2 linked regions of the Struthio camelus genome follow. The protein of the gene in region 1 purifies or fractionates together with the protein of each later gene. This does not show direct contact. Links are inferred from orthologs where the notes say so. Each region holds a gene or a part of one and is shown on either strand. Other genes may lie near its edges.

Region 1 (7,162 bases):
AGACTAAGCTCCTGATCAATAAGGTGTGACTCACTGTTTAAAGTTCTCCCAGTCATGCACAGCACAGTACCCCAAATCCCTTCACCACCTTCTGCCTCAGAAAGGGTCAATGTTCTTTACTCTTTGGATACAGAGAAAGAGCAATCCTATCACTAGTGGCATCCTCCAGCACAGTTCCCACCAGCATAGCTATTTTGTACAACCCCTTCACATTTCAGAAAAGTTGCTACATTCAAGAGATTAGATTTGAACATGTTAGGGGGCTATTAAGGGATGCAACCCCCCCCTTTCGGGCTTGTTCTTTTCATCACCCGAGATACTTTGCGCTAGAGACTCTAGGGCTGTCACAGCGGGCTCTCACGTACCTTTCCTTCGTGCACCGTGCGATGAGGCTGGCCAGGTCACCCCCGTCACAGTACTCCATCACGATGTACAGGGTCGTGCTGCTCCGGTCGATGATGCGATCGTAATAGCGGACGATGTTCGGGTGCTTCAGCTCACGGAGCAAATTCACTTCCGAAACAAGCATCTGCTTCTCTGCCTCTGTCATGGAGCCGTAGTCGAGCTCCTTCCAAACTAAGACCTTGGGGGGGGGGGGAAGGAAGGGAAGAAGGAAGGGGGGAAATTCAAAGAGACTGACACACGAAACAGAGCAGGGGGAGGACTGTTAAAGCCGCTCGCTTACGCCGAAGAGCCGCCGGGAGGCCGCGCATGCGCAGCACCACCGGCCCGCCAGGGCGAGGCGCGATGCGAGGAGCGGCACAGCCCCTCACCCTTGCCCCCCCCCCCCCCGCCTCACCTTGCCGTCAGCCTTGCGGCGCACCTTGCGGCACTTGCCGTAGGAGCCGGCGCCGATGGTGAGCAGCACCTCGTAGTCCTCGGGGCGGCTGGGCATGACGGCGCAGACGCGGCCCCCGCCGAGCCGAGCCGGGCCTCGGCACCTGCCGCGTTTAAACGCGCCGCCCCTCCCGCCCATTGGCCGGGCCTCCCAGCCCCGCCCACGCGACCCGCCTTCCCATTGGCTGCCCCGCCGTAAACAACGCCCGCCAGGTAACGGCCGTTACAACGGCCGCACCGCGGCGTCAGGGAGCCATCGCGAGAGCTGCCGCCTGCCCGCCGCTCTCCCTTCCCCCCCCCCCCCCCCCAACCACCCTCCCGGGGGGCGGCAGCGGCGGTGCTCTGCCGGGCCGGGGGGACGGGAGGGCCCTCTCCCGGTAGGCTTCGGAGAGCGAGGCGCGCCGCGGGTATCCGCGCTTCCCGTCAGGCCCGCTGAGGGACGCGGCGGCCGCCGGAGCTCCCCCTCGCTCGGTAACTTCCTCTCGCGGAGGTAGTCCGACGGAAGCAATCCCGGCCGCTGCCGCTGGGCAAACCCTTCGGCTCAAATGGGTGGTAAGCGCTGGCGAGCCTCTCCGGCGAAGGCCCAGCGCCCCCCCCCCCCCCCCGGCTGGATGGGGACGGCGCCTGGCCTTCCTCTCGCCCCCCAGTGCCGGCACAGGGGGCTGCTGGAACAGGAAGCGATCAACGCGTGGGGCGCTCGGATAAGCCATAAACATAACGGGTGTAGCGGTTAAAACAACAACAACAACAACAAAGATATTCGTAGCGAGCCAGGAAAAGAGACAGTCTTCCAGGAAAAACAATAAATTACTGTTCTCCCCTTTTCTAAAATAAATGTAGCTGTTGAGCAGATGCTGGTCAGAAAATTGGAAGAGCTTAATGGAGGGTTTTCTTAATATTAACAAGCATTAGCAAACTGAAAGTGCTTAAAATAATAAAAATTTGTTTCTGAAACATTCCTTTAAACCAATGAGGAAAATTCTTCATGATTCTTCAAGAAATTCTTCAATAAAATTATTTTCAAAAGTCATACCAGCTTTACTATTATACTGTATACAGATAGCTTTAGAAAAGAAGCCTAATAAATCAATAACTTACAATGTAATCCTTTTAAAACGGGAATATAGGCCTCCGATTCCAAAAGATGAGTCAGTAGTTTTAATATATTAGATAACATTATGGGGATATTTTTAAAGGTATGTAATGTATTTTCTAGCATTATTTAGGGTAATTTTGGAGTGATACTGGAGCGGAGTTCTGGTTTCAGTTCTGCTTAATCCCTCTCCTTGTGGACGTGCCTGTGCTTGAGGCAGCGACTCCTAGTTCTTCAGCAGAGTATTATAACTCACCAGTATAATTTCTGGATCAGGCACAAAAGGGAGTTGTTCTCAAGCTTTCAGCAACGTGAGAGATTTTCAGAACATGGCCGGAGGACAGAGTAATATCTCATATCGCATCTACACATGGTCCCATTAATCATTTCCCCATTTTGTTTCAAAAGGGTTTGAGGGGCTTAGGGGGTCATGGTGTTACTGAATATTTATAAAATATTCTTATATTATTAGCCTTCAGAAAAATCTAAGCCATTACTTTCACCAGCAAGAGGCACAAAAGCTCCTGTTATCCATTATAAAGATCCTATAGCTTTCTATTCACAGATAATGTTTGTTCATTACAGAAAAAATGAGCAAATGAATTATACAGTGTAAAAACATTTTAACTTTGTTAATGAGTAACAGGGTGCTCTGAATGACTCATTTTAAGTCTGATTTTAATTACCTTAAGAAGAAGATCCTCATCATTAGCATCATAAATAAAATATGACATTATGCAATAAGAATAACAAAAAATACTGTATTATTAGGCAGGCTGTAAGCTTCATTTCTGATTTCAGATATGTCTCAGTTTCAAACTTCTGTACTTTCAAGCAAAAGGTCATGACACGTTCCCACTGTTATGAAAGGGAGTCTTTCTATTTGTATTTCAAAAGAAATAGAGTAGGTTTTGAATACTGTGTTTGCTCTAGGGGCTATCTTGAAGTTTTCTTTAGGAATGTAAGTTTGAATCAGAGAAATGTCAAAATGTCATGCTCCAAAGACCAGCAGCATAGTAATTTTAGTTCTGATTACACTTGTTTTATTTTAAGAGTTGGGTAATTTGAGAAAAATTCTTTTTCTAAAAGCAATCAATAAAAATTTCAGGAGGTACCCTGTTTTCTTTCCTTCTGTCTGATTTCCACCCTGGTCATATGAGAGAACCCAAAGAGTCCAATGTTTCCAAGTATATATTTGAAGTTTAAATGGAGGCCTCTCTTGTCACATGCTGTATTTTTAATCTCTGATGTCTAGTCTAGAAGCAACTCAAGTTTCTAGTCTTGAAAGTGCACGTGCTGACTTCAGGTCTTTGAAAGCTGCCAAATAGTTCTCAATAATCCATTTTTAGTGTTGTTTCTAATGTTTGATTCTGCTTTTTCTCATCAAATTTCATTAATCATTTTCCAAAACTTAACAAAAACCTAAGATTCTTCTGTTACTTTCTGCCAAAGTTTGTCAGTTTTTGTGCCATAAGGTTCCTTTTCTCTTATTCCAGGTCATAGTTATTTGATAAAATATTAAATGCTGAAGATAAATAGTAAGATCAATGCACTATTTCTTATAAATATTTTAATTTTTGTGCATGGAAATAACTAACAATAAATGCCTAACACTTTGCTGTGGGAGTCCAGCCAAGTATATCTATATAGATAATATTTAATAGCAGCCTAGTTTTTTAAAATACTATAGCAAATTAAACTACGTTTCTGAGAACTTTTCTGGTAATGAAGCAAAAAAAATTACCTAGAAGTACATGTTCAGGAAGAGAAAAGAAGCTCAGTAGGAAGTACTGAAAGTAAACATAGAGGATTATAGTGAACAATAATACACTTTATAAAAATAACTAGAAAAATATCTGAGGAAAATCCTGTCTTGTCTCTTCAAAGAGGTGATAGACATGTAAAATCATGTTTCTGGACCTCAGAAAGGTGCCGAGTCTTCCAGCCAAAAAGGAGGAATTGAGTACCTGAAAGATCTTAATAAGTCCTTTGAGTGACAAGAAGAGAAATTATAAATATTGGGATGATTGAGACATCAGTGTTTTATTTTAGTTCATCTTCTCCACGTGAGTATTTTGTTTTTTTAATATTAAATTGGATTTGAAGTCCTGACACGTAGTTATGGATATTCTGTTTTTTTCTTACATTTTTTCTTTTGCTCTTGTGCACAGAAATCTTGCATTTACCCAGGTTCATTGTACATAGATGACATAACATCTTTAACTCTGTTTTTCTAGTTGATGACTTTGTTGTAAAAATTCACGTCTCAGGATTAACAAACACACACAAATACTGGGATATTAGACAGCGGTACTCTCCTCCTTCAGACACATCCCCAGTGTGGCAAACTTTCTGAATTTAAACAGATCATTAGTTAAGCAGAGATTAATGAAGCATGGTGGTTGTGGATTTAAAAAACAAACAAACAAAAACCTTGTATTGTAGAATAAATTAATCTGGTGAAACAAAGTTCAGAACAGTCACTTTGTTTCTTTTAGGCCTGAATTCCAGAATGCAAGACTTCTTTCCAAACTCTTGACTAATGTTCTCTGGGTTTGTGGGATACTGCAGTTTACAGTATCTAGAATCAGAAAATTTGAGATATAATCAGAAGGAATATTGATTTTGATATCTGGGCCAGACATCCACATTGAACGCACTCACATATGAAAGATGAGAAGAACAGTCTAAAATGCCGAGGGACTTATCCATGGCATGTTATTAAATGTCAGAAAAAAAGTATCAGAGAGTCAAATTTCCTAGTATTTTTCCTGAGCTGGTTTGGGAGGAAACAAGAACATGTTCATTGAAGAAATTCTGCACAACACAGCTGTGGACAGGACAGCTAAGGAACAAAATTCAGAAGCAGTAATTATAGTGATTAAAAATACTATACTTTTCTTTTTTTTTTTTTTTTAAGTGTTAGGACTCAGAGCTATCTCAGACTCCAAAAGAAATGCGTGCAGCAGGCAAGCTTCAAAAGGGGAGTTTGTTGCAGCAGCTGTACCTTTATGGTTTTCCAATACAAACTAGAAAAATTAGGAAAATAAAAAACACATGAGTGAAAACAAATGCGGCAGCAGTGGAAGTTTTTGCAAGTACTGAAAGAAGAGCTAACTGCATGGGAATTAATGAGGAGGAGACCGAGGAGAGTAAAGAAGACATACTTTTGCATTCAGAGAGGGGAACATACAAATTTTACTGAATCCAGATTTGCTCTACCCATTGCTTGTATTCTATAACTGAATATTTAAATACCTGGCTGAATATTTTGAAAGTGTGTCATTACTTAGTTCTCTATCTTAGAGTGAAACTAACAGCCCTATCTACTATATATGTCTTCACTTATTTGCTAATTTTTAAAATGAATATTATTTACCTTATGAACAGAAGGTGTTTGAATTGATCTTTAAGGGTGCTTTTTAAACTGATTAAGATACTCATTTTTTGAGGTGTAAAGAACTTCAAAAGTCAAATTCCTGAGTAATCTTAAATCCTAAATTCACCAACAGCTAAAGAACTGCTGTTGTCCCTAAGTAAGAAATGTAGTATAACAATTTGTGATTTCCCTTCTGGGCTGTCTTATAACTCAGTCCATGAAAACAGACAGTTCGGTCTCTGTGCCTCAATTATCCCTCTTTTAAAGGGGAAGTAATGTACTTACCCTCCACGGTGAAGCTTATAGGTAGTACACCTCAAAATATTTGACTAAAGGATGCATTAGACAATACAATAGATAAATATATTGCTGGCCTCAACTGTCCAGTTTAAAAACAAAAAACAAACAAACAAAAATTTAGGGATTTCTTTTGTAGAATTGTTTATCTCAAATATTATTCCATGAATTTTTTTTTACTTACAGTCTCTTCAAATATATTGAGGTACAGCTTTCACCAGATCTGCATACAGTGTTATTGTCACAGGCATTTTCATTACCACAGCACTCATTAATTCTCTAACAGCCGTGACTATGGATACATGCCACCCATAAGAATAGTAGATTTTCCCCTATCTTGGTGTCCCTAAACTCAAATTACAAGAAACTGTTTGCTTGATTTTACACAGGAAAGACTTGAATTTTGGAGCTGCTGTGCACCTGTAACTCGAATTGCCTTAGCAGGGATCCTGGTATGCCAGTTTCCCAATGATGATACCAAAAAAAGAATTTAAAAACAAGACAGTCCAAATGTGACCGTCTGGAATAGTATTTTCCATTGAGAACATGCCAGTTGCCTAGAACTTAACAAACAGTTTTTATTTCACATAGAACTGATTTTTTTGTCTAGCTCCCTATGGAAATGGAACTTAAGTGACCATATCACAAGTATGTTTCTACTAGCCCTCCATCCCTCCCCCATTAACTTACTCCTAAAAATAATTACCTTCCTACACGTTCCAAAAATATAACTGAGCAGATAGAGAAGGAAGATCCTAAAGAGTTCAACTATGTTATTAGAGCAGAGAATCCACATGGATTATTATTATCCTTATGGATGGACTCACATTAATGTTGATGCAGTTGCAGGAAAATCTTTGACTAATGTGTGCACTCTAGACACCAGAGAATCTAACCATGCACTACAAATCCAAAGGAAAACAAGCTTCATTAGCTCCTCTGCTTACTGAGCTACCTGTTTTTTTAAGATGTTATCTATTATTCTAAAACCAAACTGAAATCAGGTCAGGTGAAATGTAGTCAGGTGATTACAGTGAGTAAGTGCTTTCATGTGGAGAAAATACCTGGTACTTACAGGCTCTTTAGACTAATGGAGAAAGGCATAACATGAACTAATTTTTGGAAGATGAATCAAATAGGTTACAGGAAAAGGCACATAATTTTAGCTGAGAGGATTATCCTGACCCATGGTAAATGCAACCATGTAGAAAATATCAAAAGTTACCTGGAAATATCTGGGACCAGGTTCATGCAGGACCTACTGCATGAAAGATCTCTATTCAGGGCTGATATCACCATCCTGGGGATTGCCTGTTCAGTAGCATTATTTACCCTAGGCCTATGACAAAGCACAGGAAAAAATAAGTCAAAAGGGTCACTGCAGCACAGGGTGGTTTTGTATCCAAATAAAAAAAATATCTATTGTCAGGCTTTCCTGGAAAGGCTGGACTACACAATCAGTAACTGGAAGGCGTTCAGAGTGCTTAAGTAAAAATACTAATAGGGATATATTCACTGCAATTGGCAGGTGGCTATGCTTCAACTGTCTGTGCATG
Region 2 (7,658 bases), on another chromosome or scaffold:
AACAATATAGTTCTGTTGAAGAGCAGCCCATGTAAAGATATTAGAACAAATGCGTTGCTGATATTAAACAACTGCACTATCTCAGATATCTAGTGCAAAAGAGTAAAAAGGGAAAAGTAAAATATGGTAACTGTAGTGTTGCGAGCTTGATTTCTGGAGTCTAGCCTGCTATTATGATTGCACAAATTTAAAAATACATCGGACTGAACCCTTGCTTTAAAATTTGTACTCTAAGAGTTAGTCTTTTATATAAAAAAAAATGAGAATTTCATAAAACATCTATAAAGAGAGTAAATATGAAAAAGTTGTGTCCATGCTTAGCATTGAATTTAAGACTCAAGGTTGCTTTCTAGGTAGAAATTTTGTTTTCTTATTTTCTAGGTAGATTATGATAATCATGCACTTTATAAACATGGCAAGACAGGTCGTAGACAGTCCCCTGTTCGTATCTTCACCAACATCAGCCCAAGTACGATTGTACTTCCTGTCGAAGAGGGTTATAGGTAAGATGTCTTTACACTCAAGTGAATGTGCGAGTGTGTTTTTAATTGGGGCATAAAGGCTCAACATGATTTTGGGATGGTGACGTTCAGTATTGAGATTGCCTAACTTTTCAATGCTAGGCTCAATAGCAATTTCTGCTGTCTCAGGCTAAGCTCCTGTATTTTATAAACAAGGTATAGGAGAGTTGGACACCTGAAAAAAGGGTTTTACATTAATTAGTGTGGAATGAAGAGATTCCTCAGCTAGCCCATAGGAAATGTGCGTGCCTGTGGGAGACAGAGATTTACTGCTATCCCTGATAATCAGCTTGGTTGAGACAGTAGTTCAGAACATAAAGACTAAAAGAAGTTTTGGGGCAGGGGAATTTTACTGATGGAACTCAAATAGCTCTTTTTTTTTTTTTCTTTTTTTTTCCTGTTTGATTTGCTGCTGATAACGTATATTGCTAATTTGAATTTGAGCACCTGAATTTTACTGTTTTGTACTTAAGGTGTTTAAATGATTATGAGGCTCTGGTTGTATGAAGTGGTTGTTGTATGACTCAAAAAAAGTATCTTAAACTTAGCAAAGTGATTTTTGCGATCCTTACTTCTACTGTGGAGCTTATATAAAACTCATTCGTGTAGTTTCTTGAGCAAATCCTGGACCAATATGTTTGTAACTTCATTTTTTCCAGGTTATGTGCTATCTGTCAGCGATATGTTAGCTCTGGTAACCAGCACTGTGAGATATGCAATTCATGTACATCAAAAGTAAGTACTTTGACTTCTTTCTGGATGGCAATTTTAGCAGTAGTCGTATAACTTCTGTAATTTTTGCCCTGGTAAAAAGCTATTCTGGTATTGATTTCACTGGAAAACCCTAAGCAGTTCCATTCAGGCATCTTTTTATTAACTTCATAGGACATCGTTCACAACTCCCTGGGAATTAATTCCTGTTTCCTGACACCTCTGGGTTAGGAGGAGGACTGTAAAAGTTTGTTACTTGCCCCTTGTGATATACCTTATTCATTGTGTGTGGATTTTTTTTTTTTTTTTACTTTATTTTAACATATACCTTTCTTCTTATGTTTGGGAAGTTGAAGAACTTGCTAACTTCAAAATGTAGCCGTTCTGCTGTGGTTGTCACAGATTCTCAGGATTTTTGTTTTCGCGCTGCCCACAATGTATATGCTGTTTCTGAAAATAAATGGGAACATATGTCATGAGCTCAGTTTTAAGACACAATCAATGTTTTTATTTGTTTGGATTTTTTTTAAGAAAAAACAATGCATTTATTCATTCTCTTATTTATAGGATGGTAGACGATGGAAGCATTGTGCTCTTTGCAACAAATGTGTCAAACCGTGTAAGTGCAGAAAAATACTCTTCTAAGGAAAAGTATGCTTACTGTTTAAGCTCTCATCCAAAGAAACTGAGATGACAAATCAGAAAATATGCTATAGAAGAAATAAAGCTTAATCATTCAAAAGACAGAGAATAAAGGGAAAAAAATCTCAGTTTTATATGAATTGCCAGCAAATAACTTGATTGGGTAGGTTTCCGCTATGTGGAAATGTGATAAACTCCTGTTAAGTCACGGCCACCTAAATTCAAGGCCAGTAGTAAATTCCACGTATATTTCTTACGGAACAGCTTGCTTATTTTGATTTGTGGTGTTTAATGGGAATTTTATAAACACATAGGTAAGTGTTAAAAGTTATTTAAAGCTTGGTTTCAAAATGATCATTTTTCAAGTTCATAAATCCTGTTACGTATTTTACAGCTTGGTTTCACTGTAGTAATTGCAATTGCTGTGCTCTTCAAGACCATGCTTGTGAGAGGACTGAAGCTGGTTGTTTCGTTTGCGGCAAAGCAGGTCACAAGCGCAATTCCTGTCCCAGGCTCTCCCTCACTAAAACAGCTTGCCAGTAAGTTTGATATTGCATTAATAATTATATTAATGAAGCCATTATAAAGATGGCTTTCAGAGATGGGAGGTAATTCTTACTTCATGAAAATGGTTATAGGAAGAGAGAATTTTAGGCTTTGTATGCTGATACCAGCTTTCACTGTTATCTGTTTGCTGTATTGTTGCAGAGGCTCTGTGTGAAATATGTCAACTGGAGGAGCATACGATAAAAAGCAGCATGATTTAGGCAGGTCACTTACTATGTGTCCTAATTCCTTAACTGTAAGGGTTTGTCTAGATTCAACACTTGGTGAATGGTGCATAGGAGATACCTCTGTCAAGAAGATTCAAAATTAATCTGAAGTAATGAAACTTTTTTAGCTCCTTCAAATTCCTCACCAAAGGGCAGAGACTGCAGTCACTACTTTGTTTTTTCTTGATTCCTGTTTTGCTTATTTTAGTGTCTTTTACTGTTCCGTCTGGTACCTCAGGTGCTCTCTGTGGTAGGGTCTAAATCTCCAACCTGTAAGAGCTTATTAATGAAGGACATGTTAAGTATTTGTATTAGTACTTTTCTAACTTCCTCTCCAGAGCGTATTGGTTTGTTTGTAATTCTTAACTTGAATGGATGGAGCAGTAGAAGTAAGTTTTGACTCCCAAAAGACGTATCTCTATTGCATAGTGAGGGATTCAGAACTATTGGATCAGCTTCAGGAGGTTCACTGGGTACTTGCTAGGTGGTACTGGTCTACAGGTGCATTGCTTCATGTCCTGCTATGACATTACTCTGAGTTCTGGTTATAGAGTAGTAGAGCTAAAATGTAATGAGATAGATGAATAGATAAGATATTTACAACTCTCCTTTTGAAAAATCCTTCCCTTAACAGTTCTTTATTTAAAAAAAGTAAAAAGGACGTTATAAGAAAATAGTGAAACCTTATCTGTTTCTTCAGTTAGGCATATTTTGTGTTGTGATGGTTTAGTCCTTTCAGGCCATCGGTTAGTTCCTTTGCTAATTTATTCTTATTCCAGAAAATTACTTAGATTTCTTTTTCTAGGTAAAACATCTGTAAATGTTTTATTTATATTTAAAATTATACAGTGTTTTGTGTCATGAAATACGTCCTTTGTCAGAGACCAAAACCAATCCACTTGCGTCATAAATTTACTGTAAAATGGAATGTCCCTTGTACTTTTTGTGACAGTACTTCTCAGTCCATATGCTTATATGGACAGCTTATTTATATCACGAGCAAATGCAGGTGTATGTTGTCTGCTTTAATCTGCGCATTTCTTTCTTGCTTTACAGAACTGACAAAAAGAAAAGGCAGAAGACTCCAAAGAAGGTAAAGATGGGGATCTGTAAAAGATCAGCTGTGAAACATGCAATATTCGCCAGGAAAAGAATAAAGAAGAAGAAGAAGAGGCCCAGCCTTCCTTGTTGATACAAAGTGACCCAAAATTTTTTTTATAGCCTGCTTTGATTCCATATTCTGACCGTGTTAATATTAATATTCAAAATAAAACCTGATTGAACTCAAAGCGACAGTCCTTTTATGTTATACATCATTACTGACAAAAATGCAATATAAACCACTCTCTTACTATGTATTTGCTTAGTGTGACAATGTCGTGTGGCAAGGATTAGCTATTGCCTGATTTAGCTGGAATCTGAAGTCAAAAGGGGAGCAGCGGGGAGAGGTCAGGAAGGCTAAACTGGCTACTAGGTAGTGAGTGAATGCTGTGGCTTTGTGGGAGGTACGGGGGAATTTGGGGCAAGGGGGTAAGCGAGGATGGGTGATGGAAAGGCACAAATTCTTAAGGCTCCTTCTCGCACTTCGTTCCCCTCTGCTCAGAGTACCGTGCTGGTTTCCAGTTCTTCTCTCCAGATGCTTGCAGGGGGAGAAGCCTGAGGAAGGACGCTGAAAGTACTTCAGGCGCAGGTCTTTTTGTTCTGCTTACTAAGCAAGTATGCTTCGTGGTATTTTTAAAGTAGTTTAACGATTTGGATTTAAAAAATCATGAGTTTTAATATTTTTGAGATCGGCGCTGCTGCAGTAGCGACGGGAGCTATGCTAAAAACGAACCCCCATCGTCAGATTGCGGCGGATACGCGGGCACTAGCGGAAGACGAGACAGGAAGGGCCGGCCTTGCCGCGGCCGGCGGGGGCAGAGCAGGAAGCGCCGAGGCGGCCCGCGCTGCCCGCCCGCCGGCCGCCGGGCAAGCGCCGCCTCCGGAAGGCGGCAGCGGAGGGCGGCAGGCGGGCGGCCGGCGGGCGGCGGGGCCGGGGCGCTCGGAGAGGAGAGGGGAAGGGGCCGGCAGCGCCCCGCCGCCATGCCGGCCTTCCGGCAGGTCGGGGAGAAGCAGCTGCCGCAGGAGGTCGTCTTCATGGCCTGGTCTCCCAAGCGGGACCTCATCGCCCTGGCCAACAGGGCGGGGGAGGTGAGCGGCGGCGGCCGGGGCCGGGGCCGGGGCCGGGGCCGGGGCCGGGGCGGCCGCCTGGGGCCTGCGCGGCGGCAGGCGGGAGGGCCTGAGCAGCGAGGGGAAGCGCTGCCGCCTTTGCGTGGTCGTGTGCAGGCGCTGCTTCCCTTACCCGTGACATAAGCGTTTGGCCAAGCTTGCAAGAATTACCAATAACAAAAAATGTTCGTCGAGCTGCTTATTGCTTGTTATTCGTTGCCTTGTTCAAATTGCCAGGCGCGTTCAGCAGTGAGACTCTCAGTGCCTGCATCTGTGCAGTTTTAAAGGGCCCCTTTTTCAGTTACATCAGTTTTGCAGTGTTTTTTTTCCTGGAAGTGGTGGTTGTGTTCAGGGGTGGAGACGTGGTGTTGGAGAAGGAGAGAGAACCTGTGTTGGCTGCAGGCTTCTAGGTCTGTAGAGGGCACAGTTTGTCTCTCTGTTGCTGCCTTGCGAGCAGCGTCCTGTAAAATGACCTAGGAGTGACTCCTCTGCTAGAGAAGACGACACCACTTGAGATGTAGGACTTATTAAAGAAAAGTAAAAATTTTCATCTTGATTTGATTTACAAGCTACAATTAACGGGGGAATAATTTTTTTTTTTTTAATCCTTCATGTGTTTGCTTTTCAGGTTTTACTTCATCGGCTTGCAAACTTCCAACGAGTTTGGAGTTTGCCTCCAAATGAAAATACAGGAAAAGAAGTGACTGCACTTGCTTGGAGACCGGATGGCAAAAGTAATGTGAAGTATATGAGGTGACATGTTGCAATAAAAATCCTGTTGGAAATCAGTGCAAGTTGTGGTGATGATACCTCTTGTCTCTGAAGGAAATTTTCAAGTAAACTGTATTTGAAGAAAAGGGTAGCTTAATTTTATGTAGGTTTATTCAAAGCTATAAGGAAGGATACACTGCTGAAGGCAATTGCAAGAAAGATTGGCAAAGTGAATTTATGTCCAATAATATTACTTCCCAAGGTATATCAAAGCTTCCAGTTCATAACTAAGCAGAATATTTTCACGTGTACTACAAAATTCATTGGGAGAATAGAGACAAATCAGGACAGACTGAAGAGCCTGGCTTCTTTAGTCAAAGGCTAAATTTTAGAGGTGAAAATTGCTCTCTAATATTATGCCAGAGAAGGTAAAAAAACCTCTTTCCTTGGTAGAATAAGGTCTGTCAAGACAGTAATGTCTTACAGATGGAGATAACATTGAAATTAGTAGCTTAATAAGTATATGTTGGAAAGTAGTTTGATTTTTTTTTGGACCCATTGGAAGAGTGAGAATGGGAACAATATTCTGATAAGACATGAGCAAGTACTACCTGTTTAGTTTTACGTTGGAATTTAAGAAACTTTTTTTTAAGCTAGTTGCCTGTGATTACAAGGAAGTGGATGCAGTAACGTATGCCTGCCGTATGTTTTTATAGATAAATAGAGGTAAAAAAGGTAGCGATGCAAATGTTGTTCAGCAAGTCTACAATTTTACTTTGTTATAATAAAACCAAAACTGCTGTTGAATGGTCTTTAAATGTATTTCAGCCTTAAATTTGCAAAAACTGAGGCCCTGTAGTTAGAAGTGTGTACTTCAGTTCAGCATGCAGATAAATAATTGTAGGATCAGACTTTTGACCTAAATATGTTACTTAAAAATATGCTAGGAGTTCAAACCTAGGAGTGCTAGTATGCTAGAAGTGCCAGTGAGTAGGTTTCAAGTTAGAGTTTGGAAGCACAGTAGATAAAAGACAAGGAGACAACTAGATGTCCAGTAGTAGGCTTTGAAGGAACACTGTTTTCTAGTCCCGCATAAAGAAAATACAAAGTTTTGCATGTTGGTTATTTATATATTTTACGTTTTCTTCTCTAGTTTTGGCTTTTGGCCTAACTGATACCAAGCGGATTATTCTGTGTGATGTAGAAAAACCTGAAAGCTTACACTCCTTTGCAGTGGACTCTTCTATTACTTACATGCATTGGATGGAAGTAACCGAAGAAAGCAGGTAGGTCTGAAAAACTCTGCACATAAACATAGGCTGTGCAGTACTATCTTACTAATAATTTACAGTTAGTGTGTTACAAGTGGCTAAATAAAAGAATGCTGTCTTTTTCCTCACCACTTTGTTAAAATTTTCCCTTTTTATTAGAATATACTTCTTAATGTGCTTATTTGTAGTGCTGAAGTCTTAGTCTTGTGGTTCTTTTAGTTTATGCCAGAAATATTTCAGTAAGACGTTGAGCATCCACCTGTTAAGAGCTTGCTTAATCCAGTGGTAACTTGATGTATTGTTGTACAGCCTGCCTCCTGATCCAGTTTACTTTGATACCCACTAATGTGTTAATTTATTAAACTAATTGTAATAATGTTGTTATATTCATCTGCTTTGTTAATCGGGGAGAGCATTATATTTAAATCTTCATTAGTGTTTTCGGTGCTTTGGTAGGGTGCTTGCTCCTTTCACGTTTTGCCTTTGTTCTTACATCCTAATCCATTGGCGGTTCTATGATGGGTACAGTTGCTTCAGGATGTCACAGCGCTCCTAGTGACTGTGAGCGTGTGTCATTACGCAGTTCTCAGTAGCACTTGTGAGCTCGCGGGCACTGTGGTCCCTGTTTCTGTGATCTCACAAAACCATCTGATATGTACCTCGTTGCAGTGCAAGACCATAATTAAAAATTTATTAGAAAAAGGGAGGGGGCCTCACTTGGGAATTCTCTCCTCCTTAAAGTACAAATCTAAACGTGGTAAGAAAATAAATGCATCTTAAATCAGTCTAGCATTTTTCTCTTCATGGGGATGGATTTGTCT

Evidence for each region.
Region 2: the proteins of NEK2 (region 1) and ANAPC4 purify together in Homo sapiens (affinity purification with mass spectrometry; 6 studies listed by BioGRID and IntAct, with this or other methods). This does not show direct contact. The link is inferred for Struthio camelus from reciprocal best matches to the Homo sapiens genes NEK2 and ANAPC4.

What each region holds. Positions count from the first base shown.
Region 1 is NC_090944.1:113,862,475-113,869,636, forward strand, and holds the start of NEK2 (serine/threonine-protein kinase Nek2), read right to left. Parts: upstream 3,039-7,162; 5' UTR 977-3,038; coding exon 800-976; intron 636-799; exon of another isoform or gene 584-635; coding exon 366-583; intron 1-365. UniProt on the Homo sapiens protein: Protein kinase which is involved in the control of centrosome separation and bipolar spindle formation in mitotic cells and chromatin condensation in meiotic cells.
Region 2 is NC_090945.1:67,043,210-67,050,867, reverse strand, and holds the start of ANAPC4 (anaphase-promoting complex subunit 4), read left to right. Parts: upstream 1-4,632; 5' UTR 4,633-4,729; coding exon 4,730-4,837; intron 4,838-5,483; coding exon 5,484-5,589; exon of another isoform or gene 5,590-5,608; intron 5,609-6,719; coding exon 6,720-6,852; intron 6,853-7,658. Other genes in the region: rRNA N6-adenosine-methyltransferase ZCCHC4, read left to right, coding at 382-503, 1,181-1,256, 1,800-1,851, 2,269-2,413, 3,704-3,839. UniProt on the Homo sapiens protein: Component of the anaphase promoting complex/cyclosome (APC/C), a cell cycle-regulated E3 ubiquitin ligase that controls progression through mitosis and the G1 phase of the cell cycle.